Saccharomyces cerevisiae S288C: one gene and its partners. Changing the gene in region 3 together with the main gene of any one other region gives a genetic interaction. Each region holds a gene or a part of one and is shown on either strand. Other genes may lie near its edges.

Region 1 (4,625 bases), on a different chromosome or scaffold from region 3:
GCTTGGAGACTTCTTTAGAAACTTTTTCCTTCTTTTCAGTTTCAGTTAGTGGTCGAATTCTATAGCCTGGTATGATACTCTTAAACACGGGGACCAAAGCCAACATGGAAAACTTACAAGTATTAGGATTTTTAGATTCCACCATTTTACATAGACGCCCCAACGCAGCAGTATTTTCTTCAGGCTCCTCCATAACTTTAGTGACTAAATCGGCAATGTCTTCTTTTAGTTGCAGAATTTTTTCCTCCGTATCAGGCTCATCCTCCTTTGCCTCTGCTTCTTGTTCTTCATTAGGTCCCTCATCATCTTCTGAAGAGTCATTAGAGTCTTCGTCTTCCTCATCATCGTCCTTTGGTTTTTCTTGGGCTTTATGCAATTTTCTTTCAACTTTACCGTTAACTTTTATAGGCAGGCCTTCAACAAGATTTGATGTATCAGACCGATTCTTCCGAGGAACCATTTCGTAATCCTGTTCTTCTTCATCCCAGGATGAGCCTTTTGCGCTATATATGGTATTTTCATCCATATCTTCCGGTGCATTTTGGAAAACATTGCCTTCTAACAAGGAATCTTCGTGCTTTCTTTTCTTTGCAGTCCTTTCCTGAATGCGAAATTGAGATCTATTTCTCTTAGCCATTATTACTATGATATCTCCAGCTTTTATCCCGGAATTATACTCTTATGATTGAAGACATAAAATGCCAAGTTTATACCATGAAAATACTATATATGGCAGGCAGGTGAATGAGATGAGATAAAATTTTCAGTTTTCGGGCATCGCTGAAAAAATTCAAAAACTAAAGTAAAACGACGTCCCATGGTCTACTCTACGGTGAAGAAAATGAGGGAAGACATTGAATTTCTGAATCTAAGTAACTACAAAAAAGCATACACTCCATGGAAAGAGTAAAATAGGATAAATTGGTTTTATGTAGTTAAAGAAAAAATACATTGTTATATATGGAGTTTGCTGCGCGCCTAGGCGTTCTCGAAGTTTCTCCTTTGATTTTACTTTTTGGAAGGGCTTTGGACAATTTAAAGAAGATAATTTGAAGTACCCCATCAAATGCTAGAATGAAATATTTAATATACTAAATTAAGGCTGGTATTTAAAAACGTAATCTTATGTGTAGAACCTCAGTGAAAAAGCGCTATTATTAATATAACAGTATTTTCACGGAGCTTTTTTTATTCAAAAAGGTTTTCAAGACTTGGCAGAGGACGGCTGCATTCTCGAATGATAATATAGTATTATCCTTAGGATCTAAATAACTTGCATCAAGAATGATATCTAACTTTTCCTTACCTTGGAAAAGTAAGTCAGTAGCTTCTATAATTTTCTGCATTCTTGTTGGAGTGGCAATAAAATATAGTGAATCTTTATTTTTGTTTGATTTTTTAGAGCTGTCAGTAAGTAAACGTTCCACGGTGGCTATGTCATCCTTTAGTTTACTTTTAGAGAATAATTTGACGCAATTTTTGCCACCGTTTAGACTACGATAAACGTCTGCTACTCTAATATTAGACATAGAAAAAACAATTTTTTTTGGAGCTACGGAAAATTTTTGAATAAAGGCTGGGAAATTGCTTAATCTGCGTTCAGCGTCAAATTTTTCTGTCGAAAGAAAATCATTTCTTTTGAAGTAAAGTTCCTCTAATTCTAAAACACTCAAGTCAGGATTTTTTTCTCGTATCAAAGTTGTTAGGTACTCAATAATTTTTTCTGGTGAACTTGCTGGAAGTGCTTTTCGTTGTGAGACGATATACTGGCTTTCCTCTTTCTTTTTCTCAATTAGCTTTGATTTTTTCTGTAGCTTTTTCTGTCTTTTCGAAATAGGTCTATTCGAATCATCTTCTGAATTTCTCTCCTCTTTTTTCCCATCTATATCATCAACGTCATCGTCATCTTGTTCTATAGACCTCTTTTGTACCTTTTTGGTTGGGGGACTACCATCCTTGGCGTCAAAAATTACTTCATGTTCGGCATCAAAATCATAGGCGAGTCCATCATCTAAATCATCTGGATTAGACATTTTCAGCTCAATTGTCCTGACGATATGTTTAGAAGTTAGTAGCGGGGATCAAATTTCGACTTTCATTGCCTCATCCATGGTCATCTCAAAAATTTTCTCTTCAATTTTTTGGTAAATACCAAGTGCAATGAATGTTTGGGTGTCTTTGAATATTGAATATTACAGACTAAAAATATTATATATTGTAAATTAAAAGTTGATTATTAGTAAATGTACCTGAAATTTCTGTTTTCGATATCAGTCAAGTCCAAAAATTGGTACTTCTTCCTTTCTTGACCTTCTTGTTCCTTATCACGCTTTTCGTTCTCCTTCTTGCAAATGTAGCCAATGTATAATTGTAGGGGAACACAAACACACTGAGTGACCAATAAGGCAATCTTTGCTGGTATGTAACGTGGAGCAGAGTATGCCCTAAACATCTGTGGAGCAATAATACAGGAGACATTGTATACAATCATTGTAATAGCATTTCTAAAAACTCTTTTGGTGTAACCGGAGGTGTTGCATGAATTCCAGATGTAAATATTGGTAATGACACAGGAACCACTGTAAAGCAAGTACAGAGAAAATAAGTTACCGATCTTATGGGATAAGGGTAAACTGATAAGAACGATACAACCTATAATAGCTGGAATATACATAGATGTGGTTATGAGTGTGATATGACCCCAGCGGGACAACATTTGAGTTGTTATAAGAATAATCATAGCCGTAATGGCACCAATAGGCAACTGCAGTAATGCTGTTTCGTACTTGTCGAAACCAAAAGTACCAGTGATGGTCACTGAAAATGTACCAATGGCACCAGTAGAAATTTGAGAACATGCAGTTAATAAAAGCATCGGCCAAGTAAACTTATCATGAAGGAATAGTTCTTTAACTTGCTGCTTCTTAAACTTCTTTGTTTCCAGGCCAGTTTGGTTAGCTCTGATATGCTCAACAACTTGAATTTTTTCCTCTTTGTTTAGGAACCAAGCATTGGTGACGTTATCTGGAAGGTATAAGAATGTTAGAACACCAAACGCAACTGTAACCAGACCAACGACCAAAAACATTATTTGCCAAGAGGTGAAAGCGGTACCATGATAATGTAAAAAGCCAAAAGAAATTAACCCGCCCACAATATAACCTGTACCAGCCTGTGTGGCCCAGAATCCAATTCTTGCACTCTGTTCAGATTTAGTATAGTACATACCACTAATAGCGATACAACCAACTGCACTCGAGGATTCAAAGAGACCTAGGAGAGTACGAACGACCATCAACGAGGCGTACGTCTTACAAGCAGCATGGCAAGCCAACACGATACCCCAGACGGTAATAAAAGTACCTAGGATTTTGGAAATGGGGAATTTTTGAATTAAGTAAGTGACCACAGGTTCCATGAAAATGTAAGCAGCAGAAAAGATAGTACCCAAATTAGAAAATTCGTTACCTTTCAAATGATCTTTGATACCCATAGATGCAGCGTAGTTCAGCAGAGCCTTATCCAAAAACATCAGAAGATATGTACAGCATAAAAAGGGCAGGATGAAGAGGTCAACTTTTCTCAGGACCTTAGGAGATAATTCATGGGAACCATAGAAGTTGGCTTCTTCGCCTGCTACAACATCGTCTTCATTAGCCGTGGAGCTTTCGTCGAGACCGTTCTGTTTCAGGAATCTTAAAGCAACGTCCGCATCGTCTACATTAATGCTCGAGGTACTTACGGAACAACTATCAGCGTTAGCTGCCTTCTTCTCCACGTCCATGGATCGTTGTGACATGTTTTTCATTGTATTGATTTGCTGACACTCTCACTACTTCTCAGCAACAACAAAGTAAACTTTAATCTATCATACTTTGAACTATCTTATATACGTGTATATATGCACCCGCTGAGATGCTCATCGAGATTGCTCATCACCTCTGAAAAGGCTGTCTGTCACCACCATGTTTTCCGCCGGACCAAATGACAGTTCCTTAAGGGAAACTCAAAGAGACTATATTAACTAAGGAGGATCAACCAGATATGCAAAAAAAACAAATAGTTATGACGGCACTCGAACCAACCAAACACCACCCTATAATTAATGTTGATAATGATAGCGACTCGAAATTTGCCAATAAAACCTGTCTATTACGCGTCATCTACTTGAGAGTAATATACTGGAAGTTCGAGATACTCCGCACAGGGTCTGGGTGGTAGGTTTCTTTGCTATTGTATAGTTTTTCAAGATACGTAAAAGGTCTTCATCTTATCTTATATAGATGCAGGTGATTACTAGTGGGGCAAGTCGGCAGCTAATTGCGTGTGTGCGGAAGGATTGTGCAGTAGAATGGCTCCTGTAGTTATTTCAGAATCTGAAGAGGATGAGGATAGAGTTGCCATTACTAGAAGAACTAAGAGACAAGTTCATTTTGATGGCGAGGGAGATGATCGTGTAGACCAACAGCAACAGCAGCACAGTTCAAGCCACAGGGATAGGGATAAACATGTGCAGCGTAAGAAGAAGAAAAGGCTCTCGAATAGAAACCTGCAAGGTTCAAATGGTGGGTACGCTTGGGAGGATGAGATCAAGAGAAGTTGGGATTTGGTGAAAGTGGACGATG
Region 2 (7,025 bases), on a different chromosome or scaffold from region 3:
ATTCCTAAATGGATCAATGTACTTCAAAGTAGTTATTGCGACTAGGGCGACATAATAGGATTTCCATAAGGTAGAGGAGTTAAACCTATTCGCAGAAGCAATCTCTTCCAAACCAAAAAGGACACCACCAATAGGAGCACCAAAAGCAACCGCAACACCTGCTCCACTAGCTGCTGTGATATACTCATATTGCGATGAATACGTCAAAGTATCTCTTAGTAGCCATTTTGTGAGTAAGTACCCACAACAGGTTGCATAATGAACTGAGGGCCCTTCTTTACCTACGCTTAATCCCGAAGAAATAGCCAAAGGAAGGGCAACACTTTTAATGACTAATGTTAAGAAACCCAAAAATTCCTTATTGTATTCAAAACCTGATACCCATACCTTAATCTCTGAGATTCCTGAACCAGTAGCCATAGGAGCAACATATTTGACTAACAGTGTACTAATTAGAGCAAATAAGACTGACAAAAGCATGAAAATTATAAAAGGGGACACATGTCCCTTCCAGGCAATCCAAAGCCCTTGTGCCTCGCATTCAAACTCTTGTCTTTTCAGTAGTAAATTGCTTGTAGAGGTAACCTCATTAACCACGCCGTTACAACAGAAGGATTTATTAAGTAGCCAGTTCCTCTGACAATGACCTGTTTTCCAGTTAACCAGAGTTTCCGTGAAGACTTGTAGGAAACCAGCAATACATCCAATAACTATGGCCGTAGAGCTTAATGTGATAAATGTTTTTGCACGGTCCCATATAACCTCTCGGTAATGTCGATATTTTGAATTAAGGAACTCCCTGTCCGAGTCTACAGACAGTGGTCTATTTTCCTCAGCAATCTTATCAATTGTAACAAATTGGTCAAAATTTTGCGTTTCTGGAATATTGGTGAATCGATTGGTGTCAATGACATCTTCACCATCCCCAATTGGTTGATTTATTGGCACATAAGTTGTTGGCATTAGTGTCAAATAATTTTATAGTATGCAAGATCAACATTCACCGCCCTTTCTATACGGTGTGCTTTTATGAAGACTGGAGAACAGGCGGTGCTTTTCCTTTTTTTATGGGTTCGAAATCGCGACATTTCTGTCCTTAATAAGTGAAAATCATATAAATCTATTTACTAATAATGATAGCCAATGTGAAGTGTTTCTTAAGAAACACGTAAAAGGCTCTTAAGAAATCTTTGAACTACAAAACCGATCTTATTTGAAATGTGTGATAAGTATCATTTTTCGGACAGCATTCGGTCCTACGGTCATGGCCATATTATAGCGTGTATTTAACAATGACTTTTGCTAAACGAAGAACAAACAAAAACAACACCGCTTCAAGAATTTTACTTGAAAACTATACTAAAAAAGGAAAGTAAATTTGTAAGTGTATATATCATAACGTAGACACTAAATTTCAGATATTACAGTGTGATCATCCATTTGAGGATCGAGGAAGCCCAGGAACTTTTGAACCGACCGCTTTGCGAAGACAGCTTTCTTTTCTGATAAGATATGTAATGAGATATCTGACTCTTCATGCAGGATTCCGATCACATAACAACCGTTAGACAAGGTACTTACTAAGAATAAGGGCATAAATGTAGATTCGCCTAAAAACGTGCTCATTCTGGAATCAGTAGTTCTTACAGAGTTGATGGTTGTAACTTGCTCAGCAACATGGTACACTCTTTCGTCTATTTCTTCCTCACCATCAAGTTTTAAACTAAATAACGTGAGCTTTTGATCACCGTACGAAATTAGTAGATACCTAATATTCTTGAAAGTTATAGCGGCTGCACCGGTAAACATTTTCCCGGTGTCGGTAATGCTATTGATGAGGTCCCTCTCAAATAAATTCAGAGGCTGTACCTGCAATTGAACCTTTTCTATGTTACCGTCTGTTGTATGGATGACATTGAACCTCATCACACCTTTCCGTACATCAAGTAAAATCATTTCTTCCAAATAAACCCATGTACCTATATTTTGCTGCTTCCTAGCCATCTTTGCCTTCCTTTTATCAAAAAATATAGATGATGTTATTGTAATACCAGAAATATTCAACCTATTTGAAACCTGTTCAATACTGAACTTGTTATCATGAACTGAATAGTTCAGTTGATAAGCTTGCACAAACTCCCCATAAACCAAAACACATCCATTGTAATAGTTATGTAACCCACTGATTGAGAACCCCGTGTTAATCCCAAAAACAAATTCAATAAAACCCGATTCCTCATCAAATGAAAACAATAATAGGTTATTCATATTTTTACTATCAATACCGTCTATTGAGTCTAAATTTAGAGACACCAAGATACATGAATTGAAAATCACTTCCTTATACAGCTCAGAAGTCTTTCTTTTTCCTAATGTTTCGGTTCTTTTGAGCATGGGTACGGCAATAATATCTGATATCATAGCGTTTTCATATTTTATACTCTCGATATCATTGTTGAGGTTAGAAAAATTGAATGCGGAAATGTTTTTGAACTGTTTAATATCATACACATAAATTTCGGAATACTTGTCCTGCAATGGATTTGCTACTGGCAGGGCCGCTACAATCACATATCTTGATGAAGATTCCAAAGTTATAAATTTGAGACATGTTTTTAAAACTTTTTCAAACTTAGAACAAAGAGTAGCCCTTCCGGCATCACCAGGAACAAGTACGTCGTAAAATTGACCTTGAGAAGTAACCATAACAACTGAGCCATCTTTTTCTCCAGGTATCAAACAGCTTATAGGACATGGTGCATATACTTCTTGGATTTTAAATCTACCTTTTATTTTACTTGGCTTGAAAAAAATTATAGTATCGGCTGTATATATAAAAAAATAATCTGAGTTAGGGACTTCACAGAACTGTAACTTCTTCTTGCAAATTTTAACCTCTTCTACGATCTCAAAAGTTGCCAATTTCATAACGCAAAGGTTTCCTTCGGTGTCAGACATGAAAATGTAGACCGTGCTTTCGTATTCATATAGGAAAATGGACGCTAAGTCAGAAAGTCTATGGAAAACTACTTTCTGGCTTTTCAAACGGTTGCAATGATCAAATACCGTTATTTCATCATTCAGAACAAGTACAGTCAAAAAAGAGCCCTTGCTAGATATAGCAGATAAAAAGCAATTATCTATAGTCAAATCAACTCCCGTGTTTTGAATCCGGTAATAAACCTTTGAAAAACTCCACCTCAGATAACCTTGTTTTGTGACGTATGCGTAATTACACTCATTATCTCTTTGAATTGGGACCAAAGTAACGATAGTGTTATCTTTCAATAGAGTTCCATCTTTAGTAGCAATGAAACTGCCATTTATTTCAAAGTCTATTCGCTCACTATCTCTGTAAACATTATTATTCACATCTGCCCAATAGATACCTTTTCTTGTAGAGTAAACTTGTCGAGGAACACTGTCTTTACTTTTGAAAAGTAGCTTCATGCAAGTGGACGCGAAAATGTCCCCACACGATCGAAATTTCAAGCACAAGTATCCCTGCCCACAGTGTAATGATCCACAAGATAAATGTGACTTGGTGTAGTTCCCTATCAAATCGGAATATAAGGTTGATTTGCAAAGAAAAGAACCAAGATGAACAAAATTACTATGCCCTTCATTTCTGACTGAATATACTGTAAGATGGCCCTTTGGGGATACCAGTATCCAACACTTCTCATTGAAAAACGCTGCAAGGTAGTGATCATGTGAGGAACCACCATTGATGGGAAGCCTCTCAAACAAGGCCTTTTCCCAGATATACGTATCGTCTTCAAAACTGCTAAGGATTGCATTCATTCTGCATGTTATTAGAATTGCAGTACTCGTCATAAATGTAAATGTTAAATGATTTAATGTGGTATCCGCTAAAATAGGCTGCAAAAGTTCGATTCTTTCCATGTTATCAGACCCAAAGGCACCAGGCCCTTGGTATATTTTGTCTACCGTTTTACCATCAATGGTCTGTTTCGATGACAATGCATGTTTAATAAAATAAGTTTTCCATGGCGTAAAAACAAAATGACCAATATTGGTGACCGATTTGAGAAGTACTTGTGAGACCGTTGCTTCCTCCACAAATGTTAAATTGGTAGTTCTTTGCCACTTCGTTCCTTTGGCTGGTTTAGACTCGAATACACACACGCATGCTTCCAACTTATATGCAACCTCATTGTGTGCACGTGTGAGAATCGACAACGTAAAGACATCCTTATCTAAGAAATCATTGAAATTGATACACGCATCTATGGATACTATCGGTGAGGATGTCACATAACTCAGCTTAACGTCTGTTTCTTCCAAACAAAAAATGTCCTCAGTAGAAATCTCGTAAATTTCAGTGCATGACAAATTAAAAACCAGAGCTGTTCGTAGTGGATCTTGGAACATGAACTTTGGCTCTGATCTTACCTGATCAATTCCTGTTTCCAGAGATTTCACTATTTTGTAATCAAGGTTGACGAAGTCCAACCGTCCCGTGGCTTTCAACAGAATATAAAATCTTCGGTTAGGTGCAGTATGATCTTTGAAATAAAAGGCTGCCATTGTATATCCGACAGTCCTAAGTCTTAACTTCTTGCGCGCTTCATCTTGTTCTACCCCTTCAAACACATCTATATATTCTAGTCCTATGACCACCAATTCTCGGCTCTGTCCTTCGAGTCCATCTTCTTCCCTAATAAAACATTTAACTACATCCGGGGGACCATCAACCTCACTTACTATAATGTTGTCAGTCATCGCTATACGAATCCTCCCTGCTGGCATGAGAAATTGGATACGCCAAGCCCTGGGCAGCCTCCTCTTTGCATCGTTTCTCTTGCTTTCATCTTTCCACTATCCAATTACCCTGACTCTCGTTCCTGTCTATCATGAGTCTCTTGTCAAGCCAACAAGTGCTTCCTTTGGAGGTATACGATTGTCTCAACTTACTATGATTATGGAGAGGAGAGCAACGCCTACGTGTCAAGACCCATCGTTAACCGAGGTCTAGCTTTAACCTTGTATCTCCTAGCACTTTTAAATAAGGCAAAAAGGGAGTAGGGTCATATCTTTCTGGGACCCTTTTTTTGTGATTGCCCCAAATAAAGGAAAAAAATGGAGGTTACAGGATTTTTTGAAGAGTCAGGTATAACCGCCCATGTGGAACAGGTAGATAGATAAATATATTCGAAGGATTGCTAGATAGGGGCAAGTTTTTGCATGCATTTCTCGACTTTAAGCAGAAAAGTACATATTTTTAAGGGCATTGGTGAAATTTACCAGGTATATCTCTCGAATACTGCGGCTGATAGGTAAAGTAAAATAGGAAATGGTTTCTTTATTTGATAAGCTTAATGCAAAAAAAGACGGTAGAGATGGATCTGTGTCGAAGGAGTTGCTATCACATTCTGTAGCCCATACTAAGAACAGGTTACCCAAATCAGGAAGGCGCACGTCGGAACGGTCCTTAGCCGCTAGTGTAAAGGACGGAAGTTGCTCAAATAGCAAAAGCAATAAGCGGAACTCTTCGGCATCCGTGTCAGGGGAAGAAGATAAATCCTGTCTAATTTCACTTAATTGCCTATGTTGTGGTGTCCCACTACGGTTTCCAGCCTCCATAACGAAATTTCGATGCAGCGCATGCCAAGTAACAGTTATTGTAAAGGAGCCGGAAATTAACAGTAATTTGGAATCTAGTACGCATATTTCGTGCACATTAGAGGGTTTGCAGATGGTAGTAAGGCGGTGCCATGATGATTTGCAGCGGCTTAAGAAGACTGGGATTCTGGATAAAGAAAGAAAGGGGTTGATTTTCCAACCGGTAATAACGTATTTACTGGACAGATTTCATGATGTTAGCATTTTAAACAGGTCGTTCTTGGTACATGATGGTGGAAAGAATATAAAGATGCTGAATTATGAAGTTTTACAAAGATTTTACAGTATATTATCAAATCTTCCTACAAGGAAACCGTATTATAGTATGCTGTGTTGCTGTAACGATCTACTGAAGAGAATAACAATCAATAAAGGGGAAAATTTGCAAATATTACAGTATCGTTGGTTGCTGATTATATTAAATATACCTACAATACGAACCTGCCTTATTAGAGATCGGAAGAGCAAAAATGTGTTTGAGACCCAACAAATAAGGGCGGTGTCTTATGAGTTGGCCAAACGATGTATTGGCTACTTGTCTAACCTATCAACAAAAACATCTCAACAATTGATTCAATCATTACGGCGAACGCCTACGGATAATTTTTCATACCAGGTAGAGATTTTAAATTTATACATCAATTTCCAATTTTCCAGATTACTGTCGAACGAATTATCAAATAGAACCGCAAAAAATAACGTGAAGCCTGAAGATGAGATGCGATCTCGTCTTCGTCGGCATCACACTACTGGCCATGAATTCCTGAGTACTAGACCAATAAGTGCACAATCAAATGATAAACAGGGAAGTGGTTTCACGCATCCCGTCAATAATAAGATGAAATTTAAATTTTTTCAATATGAGGAAGACTGGCATATTCACTCTGCAGCAAAATTGACGTTCATCTATTATGTAGCCAATACTAGAAGAAATGGCCGTGGAGCGTTGTCAATTCAAAGCTTTTACAATATAACGCTAGACTTCATAGATTATAAACAAGATTTCGATCATTGGAGAGGAGTAGCTCAAAAGACAAAAATGAATCAACTGATTGAAGAGTGGGGAAATTCGACGACAAAAAAATGTTTTTCATTCTGTAAGTATCCATTTATATTGTCACTCGGCATCAAAATCTCTATTATGGAGTATGAAATTCGCAGAATCATGGAACATGAAGCTGAACAGGCTTTTTTAATTTCACTGGATAAAGGCAAATCCGTAGACGTTTATTTCAAAATCAAAGTACGGCGTGACGTTATTTCTCATGATTCATTGAGATGTATCAAGGAACATCAAGGCGATTTATTAAAATCGCTGAGAATAGAGTTTGTTAATGAACCTGGAATTGATGCGGGAGGGTTGAGAAAAGAATGGTTTT
Region 3 (5,076 bases):
CTATCGGGAATACTGATGATGCACTTGATACTAGTACAGCCGCAAGTAAAGAAAATGGAAAAGGTAGACTCAGGGTTCAAAAAGCTTGTGAACTTTGCAAGAAGAGAAAGGTTAAATGCGACGGTAACAATCCTTGTCTGAACTGCTCTAAACATCAAAAAGAATGCCGTTATGATTTCAAAGCTACAAACCGTAAAAGAAGAAGACGACAGGTCGCATCAGCTGTTCGGGACGTTAGTAAGACATATGCAGAAACCAGTGAGTCTTTTCCTAGGGACTTGTTAAGTAAATCAAATATTATCATAAATGCCCCCTCAGATGGTGTATCTTCGTCTGCTAGCAACTCTCCCAATCCAAATTCACATTATCATCATATATCATCCACTTTACCCTTCATGAGCGGTAGGCCAAACCATACATTCCATTCCGGAAGCAACTTAAATGGAGAAAATAACAATAACAGTTTTCCGGAGGATCACATGGCTAAATTACTTCTGCAATTGAGTTCAAAATTGGGGAATACGACCAAGGAATCGTCAATTAGAACAACTAGAACCAATGCTAGTGATGTGAATGCAAACCCGACAGTGGTCAACATGAAAAATAGTCAGGAAGACTGTGACACGAATCACAGGTCTGCAATATGTGACTCTGCAGAGGCTCTTCATAATAACAACATCAATTCTAAAGAGAATAAGATAATCAACTCTCAAATAACTAACACTGTTAATGATCACTTTGAATCACCCTGGCAGACATTTTCTTTAGATAAGTATAGGTTTCACCGACGCTACCAAAATATTCTGCCCTATTACCTTGGTGTATCTATTTTAAAGGATCTATCTCCGCAGACAATAGAGTACGCGAAGTTGAAAAGGCCAAGAGTTCAAAACTATGGTTGGAACTTGTCAGGAGGCCATTACTTAAAGTATAAGGGTGACTTTAGAAGCCAAGAAAAAAATATAAGGCATGAGTCTAAATTTTTCGACTTTGATGACCCTGTTCACTTATCCTTAATCAATAAGTTACTAAGGTATTATTTTGATGAGATCAATCCTGTTTTCAGTATCATTCACGAAGCGACATTTTGGCAGCAATATAACAATAAATTTCTACGGCAAGGTAAACAAAATAATTCATCTGCGAATCTATTCACTTCCATGCTTTATCTAATTTTGTCTACTACACTAAGATTCAGAGAAGGGCATCTAGATGGTCAGAAAGGGCAAGGAACCTACAGTAACACATCCTTAAATATCACATTCGAGGAAAAATCTATTTTGATCAAAAAACCCTCCATAGAGGAAAATTTATTCAAATACGCTTATTTAATAATCAACACGCTGACCTTTGAGTGGGAATCATTCGAACTAATACAATCGTGGCTTTTGATAACCTTCTATTTCAGAACCTGTTACAGACAGACGGCGTGCTGGAACGCGTTAAGTCAAGCGGTGAACATGTGTAATGGGATGAGTCTATATTTAAACAAATTTCCTGAGATCCATTCCACTTATGATGAATCAAAAGCATGGCATTGTTTCTGGTGTTGTTTTATAATGGATAAGTTGATAAGTTTTCAAATGGGTCGATTCTACCAACTATCATTACCCGCGAGCGAGATGTGCGAACAGATGAATCTAGTGAAGTCAAAGAAATTTTTACAAGAAGAAGATGATTGGTTTCACGAAGAGACTTTTCAAATGCTTGATTTGTCCATAATAGTGACACAGTTTTTAAAAAGAGACGCACAGGATTTAAATTTGAACGAGACCGTGCAATTGCGCAGCCAACTTGGTCAATGGTATGACACCTTTATAGTTGGAAGTCAAACCAATGCGTACGACGACAATTATCGTTACTTCTATCAAGTTCAACCATTCATGACATACCTGGATATAAGGCTGACTTTCGAAGTAAGACAATTATTTTGTCTAATCGCCCCCTCATCTACCGCAAATAATAAATCCCTAGAATATGTCGTCGATACTGAATTGTTAATTTCTCATTGTCAAATGGCTATTGAAAATTTGGCTGAAATTACGAGAAGTAATCTTTTCTTTGTTCCGTGGTGGTTAAACCTTTCTCAACTATTCACGGTAAATTTAATATGTATTATCTACCTGCACGCAGGGATTGCCGTAACTCAAAATAAAGCTATCATGCAAAGCTGCCAAGAAATATGGCGAACCTTAGAGTGCTCTAAGCCAAAAAATCGGCCTTCAATGCTTCCTGAGTGCTTGTGGTGTTTGAAAATGCTGAATCATATGTTCTGCATACGACTGAGAGATTCTGCTTTGCAATTGGAAGCTACTCTCGGAACTGATCATGGTGATGACACCCCTAATAGAAATAAGTTTGAGCAGTTCAAGAAAGTTGGCGATAATGATGCGGATGTTGAAGTTGATGCTGGTGAAAGAGAAGAAAATGCTGATGAAAGACAAGAAAATCCACATAACAATAGCAAAAGAGTACCATTAGCTACTAGGTCTCATAATACCACTAACTTCGACGGTTCAATCGCAATTTCTCCGGAAAGTGCAGTAGCAAATCTAGGTACTGATACTGGATTGCCCTCAGATGTTCTTGATACTGTCAGTAAAATAGGGAACTCTCCTAATGTGTTTGATGATGATTTATTTTCCAATTTATTATGGTTTGACCAAAATTTTGCATAAGGATTCTTTTTCTATTCCATAAAACCATTTTATGGACACGTTTACCTACATATTATTATATTGTATATAAGATGTTGAAAAAATTGAGTCAACCTCACCTTACCACATGTTGGTCCGTTGCTATGACAAACTCTCGTTTTACAAGAAGGAGGCTCAAATTTCGGGTCACCCACCCATATACGGATGTCACGCTATGAGATCTTTTAAACAATAGACAATTTTTGGTATCCTAAAGATATAAAAGAGGAGTTTTTTTAAACCATGGTAACTATTTTCAAATTTGCTCTGCTGCAGTTTTTTATTTCTGTTTTTCTTTTTTTGTTCCCAACAAGAAGTGAGTTAATAAAGGCAAAAACAGTGGTCGTGTGAGAATGAATACAGTTTCACCAGCCAAAAAAAAGGTTATTATAATTGGTGCCGGTATTGCTGGGCTTAAAGCTGCATCTACGCTACACCAAAACGGTATTCAAGATTGTCTTGTTCTTGAGGCCAGAGATCGGGTCGGTGGTAGGTTGCAAACTGTCACAGGCTATCAAGGTCGGAAATATGATATAGGTGCTAGCTGGCACCATGATACGTTGACAAACCCTTTATTTTTGGAAGAGGCTCAACTGAGTTTGAATGATGGGAGAACGAGGTTTGTTTTTGATGACGATAATTTTATTTATATCGACGAAGAACGTGGAAGGGTAGACCATGACAAGGAACTGCTTCTTGAAATTGTGGACAATGAAATGAGCAAATTCGCAGAGTTAGAATTCCATCAACACTTAGGAGTTTCAGATTGCTCCTTTTTTCAATTAGTAATGAAATACTTACTACAAAGACGCCAATTTCTCACAAATGACCAAATAAGATATTTGCCACAACTCTGTCGATATCTGGAATTGTGGCACGGCTTAGATTGGAAGCTTTTGAGTGCCAAGGATACATACTTCGGTCACCAAGGAAGGAACGCCTTTGCTTTGAACTATGATTCTGTGGTTCAAAGAATTGCTCAAAGCTTTCCTCAAAATTGGTTAAAGCTAAGTTGTGAAGTGAAATCAATTACACGAGAACCTTCAAAAAATGTGACAGTGAACTGTGAAGATGGTACTGTGTACAATGCTGATTATGTTATTATTACAGTACCTCAAAGTGTATTGAATTTGTCTGTACAACCTGAAAAAAATTTACGGGGAAGAATAGAATTTCAACCACCCTTGAAACCAGTGATTCAAGATGCTTTTGACAAGATCCATTTTGGAGCGCTAGGTAAAGTAATTTTTGAGTTTGAAGAATGTTGTTGGTCGAACGAAAGTTCAAAAATTGTAACTTTGGCTAACTCTACCAATGAATTTGTCGAAATAGTACGTAATGCGGAAAATTTAGATGAATTAGACTCTATGCTAGAAAGGGAAGATTCTCAAAAGCATACGAGTGTTACTTGTTGGAGCCAGCCTTTATTTTTCGTAAATTTGTCAAAAAGCACAGGAGTAGCAAGCTTTATGATGTTGATGCAGGCACCGCTTACAAATCACATAGAATCCATTAGAGAAGATAAAGAGCGTCTTTTTAGTTTTTTCCAACCTGTGCTGAACAAGATTATGAAGTGTCTAGATTCTGAGGATGTCATCGACGGAATGAGGCCGATAGAAAACATTGCAAACGCTAATAAACCAGTCTTAAGAAACATCATCGTTAGCAACTGGACACGCGATCCTTACTCACGCGGTGCTTATTCGGCCTGTTTTCCAGGAGATGATCCAGTTGATATGGTTGTTGCAATGTCTAATGGTCAAGACTCCCGCATAAGATTTGCAGGCGAACATACTATCATGGACGGCGCCGGCTGTGCCTATGGTGCTTGGGAAAGCGGAAGACGGGAGGCGACTCGAATCTCTGACTTACTGAAATAGAATCTATTTTTTCGAAATTACTTACACTTTTGACGGCTAGAAAAGGATATACATACATATTAAAATTTTTAGTAACACTCTGTGCTTTTTCAAAAATTTGAGGTACACCTAATTCTCCCACTTGTTGCTTATACCAAGTTTGAACAATTTTAATGTTAAGCACAATAGATTGGAATATTATCATATGGTGGTTCAGAGAGTAGTAGGGTGCATTTTCATTCCTGTTGCCTCAATGTGTTTTCTATCTGTATTTACGTGATTTTATGAAGTGGTGGCATCGCTTAGATGTGGTGCATAATTAGAGACTAATTTTTGAAACCACGCATGAATGTCAAGTAATTCTAACTGAGCATCTGTCATCAATGGCACTTGCAACTTCAAAAAATCCCACCAATATTTTGACGGCACCAATTTACCTTTGAATTTTATTTGAGTTTTCCTTGTTAATCTTGCATTCAGAATTCCATAGAAAAAGAATTTTTCAAATGGAATTATATTTG
Region 4 (5,145 bases), on a different chromosome or scaffold from region 3:
AGAAACTGATAAAAAACCATCAATAACATCATCATCGGCCACAAACAAGAAGAAAGTTAATATTGAATTGGAAGATTTGAAATTTCATCAATGTGTCCGATTAAGCAAATTCGAGAATGAAAAAATTATAACGTTTATACCTCCTGATGGAAAGTTCGATTTAATGAACTACAGACTATCTACTACGATAAAACCGTTAATTTGGTGTGATGTAAACGTTCAAGTTCATTCGAATTCTAGAATTGAAATTCACTGTAAGGCCAAGGCCCAAATTAAAAGAAAATCTACTGCAACTAATGTAGAGATATTGATACCGGTCCCGGACGACGCGGATACACCGACTTTTAAATATTCACACGGGTCTCTAAAGTATGTCCCTGAAAAAAGTGCAATCTTATGGAAAATAAGAAGTTTTCCCGGTGGTAAAGAGTACTCAATGTCTGCCGAATTGGGACTGCCTTCAATATCAAATAACGAGGATGGCAATAGAACAATGCCAAAAAGTAACGCGGAAATCTTGAAGGGACCTGTCCAAATCAAATTTCAAATACCCTACTTTACTACTTCAGGTATTCAAGTACGTTATCTTAAAATTAACGAACCCAAATTGCAGTATAAGAGTTACCCATGGGTAAGATATATCACGCAAAGTGGTGATGATTATACAATAAGGCTGACGTAATGTCTGAAAAATATATAAAAAAAGCAATTTCTACGGTGCATGGACAAAGACACAGGGTACGTATGTCCTTATTCCTCTTTTTCTCCCCCCTCCCATTGACAATTATGATAATGACATAAAGTTGTTTATATATTTTTGTTTTTATATAGATGCTCATTCAGGGTTTGTTATATACATAGACATAAGAGAATAACTTTTTTTCTTTCTGTATTTCATTTTATTGTTTATAATGTTTTCCTCTACCAAGAAAATAGGGAGAAATGGAAGATAAAGAAACACTCTCCTCTATTCCTGTTGATATTCAGATTCAGGCTCGCTGTCGTTTGAGTTCGAGTCTATGCCTGATTCTCCGTTGTCATCGTCGTCAGAACCATCACTTGAAGTAGAGTTCTGTGCTTTTTCCTCGGCTTCCACTTTTAATTCATGCAAGATATCAAAACATTCTGCTAATAAAGCATTCAATATACCTTGGCCTTCAGGTATATTGCCATCAGAGTCATAGAATATACCTTCAGTTCTCAGGTTGTCCAATGAAGCCAATTTCATTTGATAAGGGTATAACTCTCTTTCATTATTCACACCTCCCATTCTTTTCAATTCTAATAGGCAACGACGAACTGTAGATAGTTGATTGTGAATTGGCTGCAACGCTTCAGATACGGGCTCTGAACTTTCCAACAGTTTATAAATTATGGCATAACATCTACGCAACAGGTATAAAAGTATTGATTGCCCCTTTGAGTCCTGAGATTTTGTTGGAAACTTACCATTGATTCTTTTGTTATCAATTTCGTTCAATTTTTTTTGGTAAGAAAATAAATCGGTTTCTCTCAAAGTCCATCTTCTTGTGATCATTAAATTTTCTAAGGTAGTCTTTATATCAATCAGCTGTTCATATATTGGCTGTAAATATGGATCTAAAGTCAACCCGCCATTTTTTTGGTGTGATAAATCGTTAACTAAATCATGGCAATCATCCAATAAACCATTAAGGACACTTTGGCCTTTTTCTGCCACCTGATGAGACTCCAAGGACTTGAATTTACCAGAATCGTCACGATTAGATTCTAATTCACTTAATTCGTTCTTCAAAACTGATAATTTCTCATGGACATACTCTTGAGATACTAAATGTTTGTCATCCGTTAAGCTTTCATTGTTCGTTTGCAAATCATTTTGTTCCTGCAATAAAGAGTTGGTATTAATATCAGATTTAGACATTGTTTTTTTAGCAGATGCAACTAATGACAATAAACCTCTTCTAATTCGGAATAACTTTTCCATTACAGTAGACAAAGACGGATCAATTTCCTCCAATTTGCCTTCCAATATATCATATTCGTCCTTGCAATGCTTTAATTTAGCACGTAGTAATAGGTCTTCCTCAATTTTATTCTTTTTCCTTTCGTTGTCGATTTCCCTTAATCGGTCATCATTTCCATCCTCATCGTACGCAGGACTAGAGTTTTTTTGTTCGACAATCTTGCTGATTTCTTCCAGCCTTTCCTTAATAGGACTCAAATCGTGATGGGTGAAGACGTTTGATTCATTTAAATGTTCCAAAAGACTCTCCACAGTAGATAACGATGCATAAGTCGCAGGTGCAGAATTTTTTAGCCCAACAGTTAAAAAACACAACGAGAGCAATTGAAAGACATCATCCAGTACGGAGTCAACTCTATTATGCAATTCAGTACTATGAATCAGGGTGGCGGCGCTCTTAGCGGGCGTCTCATGACTATTCTTCCTAATATCGTCCAACTCTCTGACTTTGGTCAAGACGTGTTGGTAAGTAGTTTGGACATCCTTAGAGTTCAAATACTGGGTCCTATTTTGCTTGAGTTTAGCCAAGGAGGATCTCACTTCAAGGAGGTAGTTTAATATGGATTCCTCTTCCTTAGGAACAATTTGAGGGTGTTGTTGTCCAGCGGATGCAAACATGCTCTTTTTAGACAGTTATTCTCTTCTAATACAATTTCAGCGTTTTAAAAATTGGGAAAGTCCTCGAAGATTTAGTAGTTCTTTTCCTTTGCTTTTGTTTGTTTTTAAACCGATATTTGCTGCTAAACTTCTTAAAGAGATTTGCTCTTCTGGTGTACTCTCTTATTCGTTATCATTTCTGAAAATTCCCCTTTCCGTGATGCGGGTAATACTAGGTCCCTTACCCGACGACAAGAAATTAAAAAATGACGCAAAATATTCATTTATGAACTATTTTATTATAACTTGTATAGGAATAATAATGTAGTGATGTAAATTTATGGGCCCCATTAAGCCATCAAAAATGGAATGTATGCCTATGCTCCTCTTCTGACATAACTGGCCAGAGGCGGGACCTTAGCGGAGGGACCATTGCTGAATCACAAATTCTCTCCACTTCCTTATTTTCCTTCATATAATAAGACATAAAAAACTTGTATATTATTAGGTATTTAGCTCGTTTATTTAGGACCTAGCATGTGTTCAGGAACAACCCATTCATCAAATTCCTTTTCAGTCAATACACCCAATTCCAATGCACTTTCCTTCAAGGTAATGCCCTTCTTATGAGCATTCTTGGCGACCTTGGAAGCGGCATCATAACCGATCTTAGGGTTCAAAGCGGTGACTAACATTAAAGATTTAGTCAACAACTCATGAATACGAGGCTCATTGGCTTTGATACCTTCAACACAGTGCACTCTAAATGAATATGCGGCATCAGTAATTAACCTGATCGAATTCAATAGATTGGCGATCATGACTGGCTTGAAGACATTTAACTCGAATTGACCTTGAGAGCCGGCAAACGTGATAGCTGCATTGTTACCCATGACTTGCACACACACTTGAGTCAATGCCTCGTTTTGGGTTGGGTTAACTTTACCAGGCATGATTGAGGAACCTGGTTCATTCTCTGGCAGCATTAGTTCATGGTAGCCGCAACGTGGCCCGGACCCTAAGTATCTTATATCTTGCGCTATTTTGAAAAGAGAACAAGCAAGGGTGTTTAGAGCACCGCTACATTCGACAATGGCGTCGTGAGCAGCCAAAGCCTCGAACTTATTAGGGGCGGTTTGAAACTTTAGTCCAGTTTCTTTGGAAATTTGCTCGGCTATCTTGACATCGAATCCGGGCTTGGTGTTCAACCCTGTACCAACGGCAGTACCACCTTGTGCCAGGAAACTCAATGTTTTCAAAGAATGTGCCACTCTTTGGATACCGTTCTCAACTTGTTGCACGTAACCGGAAAACTCTTGACCTAGTGTCAAAGGCGTGGCATCTTGCAAGTGTGTTCTACCGATCTTCACAATATGGTCAAATTCCTTGGATTTGGCTTCAAGGGCGTTCTTTAAATTGGTCAACTCAGGTATCAACTCGTTTTGAATTTGCAAACTGGCAGCGATATGCATGACAGTGGGGAAAGTATCATTGGATGATTGAGATTGGTTGCAATGATTGTTTGGATGGACTTGTTTAGATCCAATCTTGCCTCCTAGGATCTCAATGGCACGATTGGAAATAACTTCATTAGCATTCATGTTAGACTGGGTACCGGAACCCGTTTGGAAAACAACCAATGGAAAGTGGTCGTCTAGCTTACCAGAAGCCACTTCGTCAGCGGCCTGTTGAATAGCCTTGGAGATCTTGGGATCCAATCCCCCCAGAGACTCATTCACAATCGCGGCAGATTTCTTCAAAACACCAAATGCATGCACCAAAGGCAATGGCATTCTTTCACGAGCGCCACCAATCTTGAAGTTTTGAAAGGATCTTTGAGTTTGGGCACCCCAGTACTTATCAGCAGGCACGTGTATCTCACCAAATGCATCGGTTTCAGTTCTGAACGAGGAGTTCATTCTTCTTATATTAAGCTTATATGACGATTTTACGAAAGTCTTGCAACTACAATTGGTAAATCTCAACATGATTGTATCTCTTATCCGTTTAATAGTTAGACTTTATGGAATTTCTTGACGTGAGAAAAAAAACAGCTGCAGTACTAAAAGTCACGAATTTAAAAATGCAAAAAAATGACTGTATGTAATGGAGAAACGATATGAATATCCCAGAAGAAAGAGCTAGAGTCACTCCCCCGTGTGTTCGGTCCGGCCTCCTGTTGGATGCTTGTTTAACGTCTACAACAGTGATGAAGATTATATATAGCCTATAAGAAACGCAAAAAGGCTTTACAGGAAAGAGCCAATCATCGAACGCCCATTCCGGGAATCGGGGTAGTCATTCCGAGGATCGGCTCAGGGGAGGGGCCTGAAGCCTCTCCAATATGGTAGTGATAGCAAGAACTAGAGACATTTACTGCTAGCTTCCATAGCTCTCTAACCACAGGGTACGAATAATAACCATTATTAGGTACTGACATTATGATGTCGCCCGCGGCGATTCGGAAGGGTTTAAGGACACGTCTTAACAAATGGCATTACAGAATGGCTATAGGCGACTCACTACTATGTATTGACTATGTA

The links.
Region 1: mutations in FMS1 (region 3) and CMS1 together harm fitness more than expected from each alone (negative genetic interaction), as found in Saccharomyces cerevisiae (2 studies listed by BioGRID).
Region 2: mutations in FMS1 (region 3) and MLO127 together harm fitness more than expected from each alone (negative genetic interaction), as found in Saccharomyces cerevisiae (2 studies listed by BioGRID).
Region 4: mutations in FMS1 (region 3) and CUB1 together harm fitness more than expected from each alone (negative genetic interaction), as found in Saccharomyces cerevisiae (2 studies listed by BioGRID).

The regions. Positions count from the first base shown.
Region 1 is NC_001144.5:155,698-160,322, forward strand, and holds CMS1 (Cms1p), read right to left. Parts: upstream 2,034-4,625; coding exon 1,158-2,033; downstream 1-1,157. Other genes in the region: NOC3 (Noc3p), read right to left, coding at 1-637; THI73 (Thi73p), read right to left, coding at 2,237-3,808; TFIIH/NER complex subunit SSL1, read left to right, coding at 4,352-4,625. UniProt on the Saccharomyces cerevisiae protein: May play a role in the regulation of DNA replication and cell cycle control.
Region 2 is NC_001142.9:501,684-508,708, reverse strand, and holds MLO127 (Mlo127p), read right to left. Parts: upstream 4,774-7,025; coding exon 1,408-4,773; downstream 1-1,407. Other genes in the region: GEF1 (Gef1p), read right to left, coding at 1-963; putative E3 ubiquitin-protein ligase HUL4, read left to right, coding at 5,318-7,025.
Region 3 is NC_001145.3:312,328-317,403, forward strand, and holds FMS1 (polyamine oxidase), read left to right. Parts: upstream 1-3,049; coding exon 3,050-4,576; downstream 4,577-5,076. Other genes in the region: STB4 (Stb4p), read left to right, coding at 1-2,678; MAC1 (Mac1p), read right to left, coding at 4,838-5,076. UniProt on the Saccharomyces cerevisiae protein: Involved in the production of beta-alanine, a precursor of pantothenic acid. Multicopy suppressor of fenpropimorph resistance.
Region 4 is NC_001148.4:46,781-51,925, reverse strand, and holds CUB1 (Cub1p), read right to left. Parts: upstream 2,624-5,145; coding exon 968-2,623; downstream 1-967. Other genes in the region: APM1 (Apm1p), read left to right, coding at 1-682; YPL261C (uncharacterized protein), read left to right, coding at 2,622-2,930; fumarase FUM1, read right to left, coding at 3,124-4,590. UniProt on the Saccharomyces cerevisiae protein: Involved in bleomycin tolerance with links to DNA repair and/or proteasome function.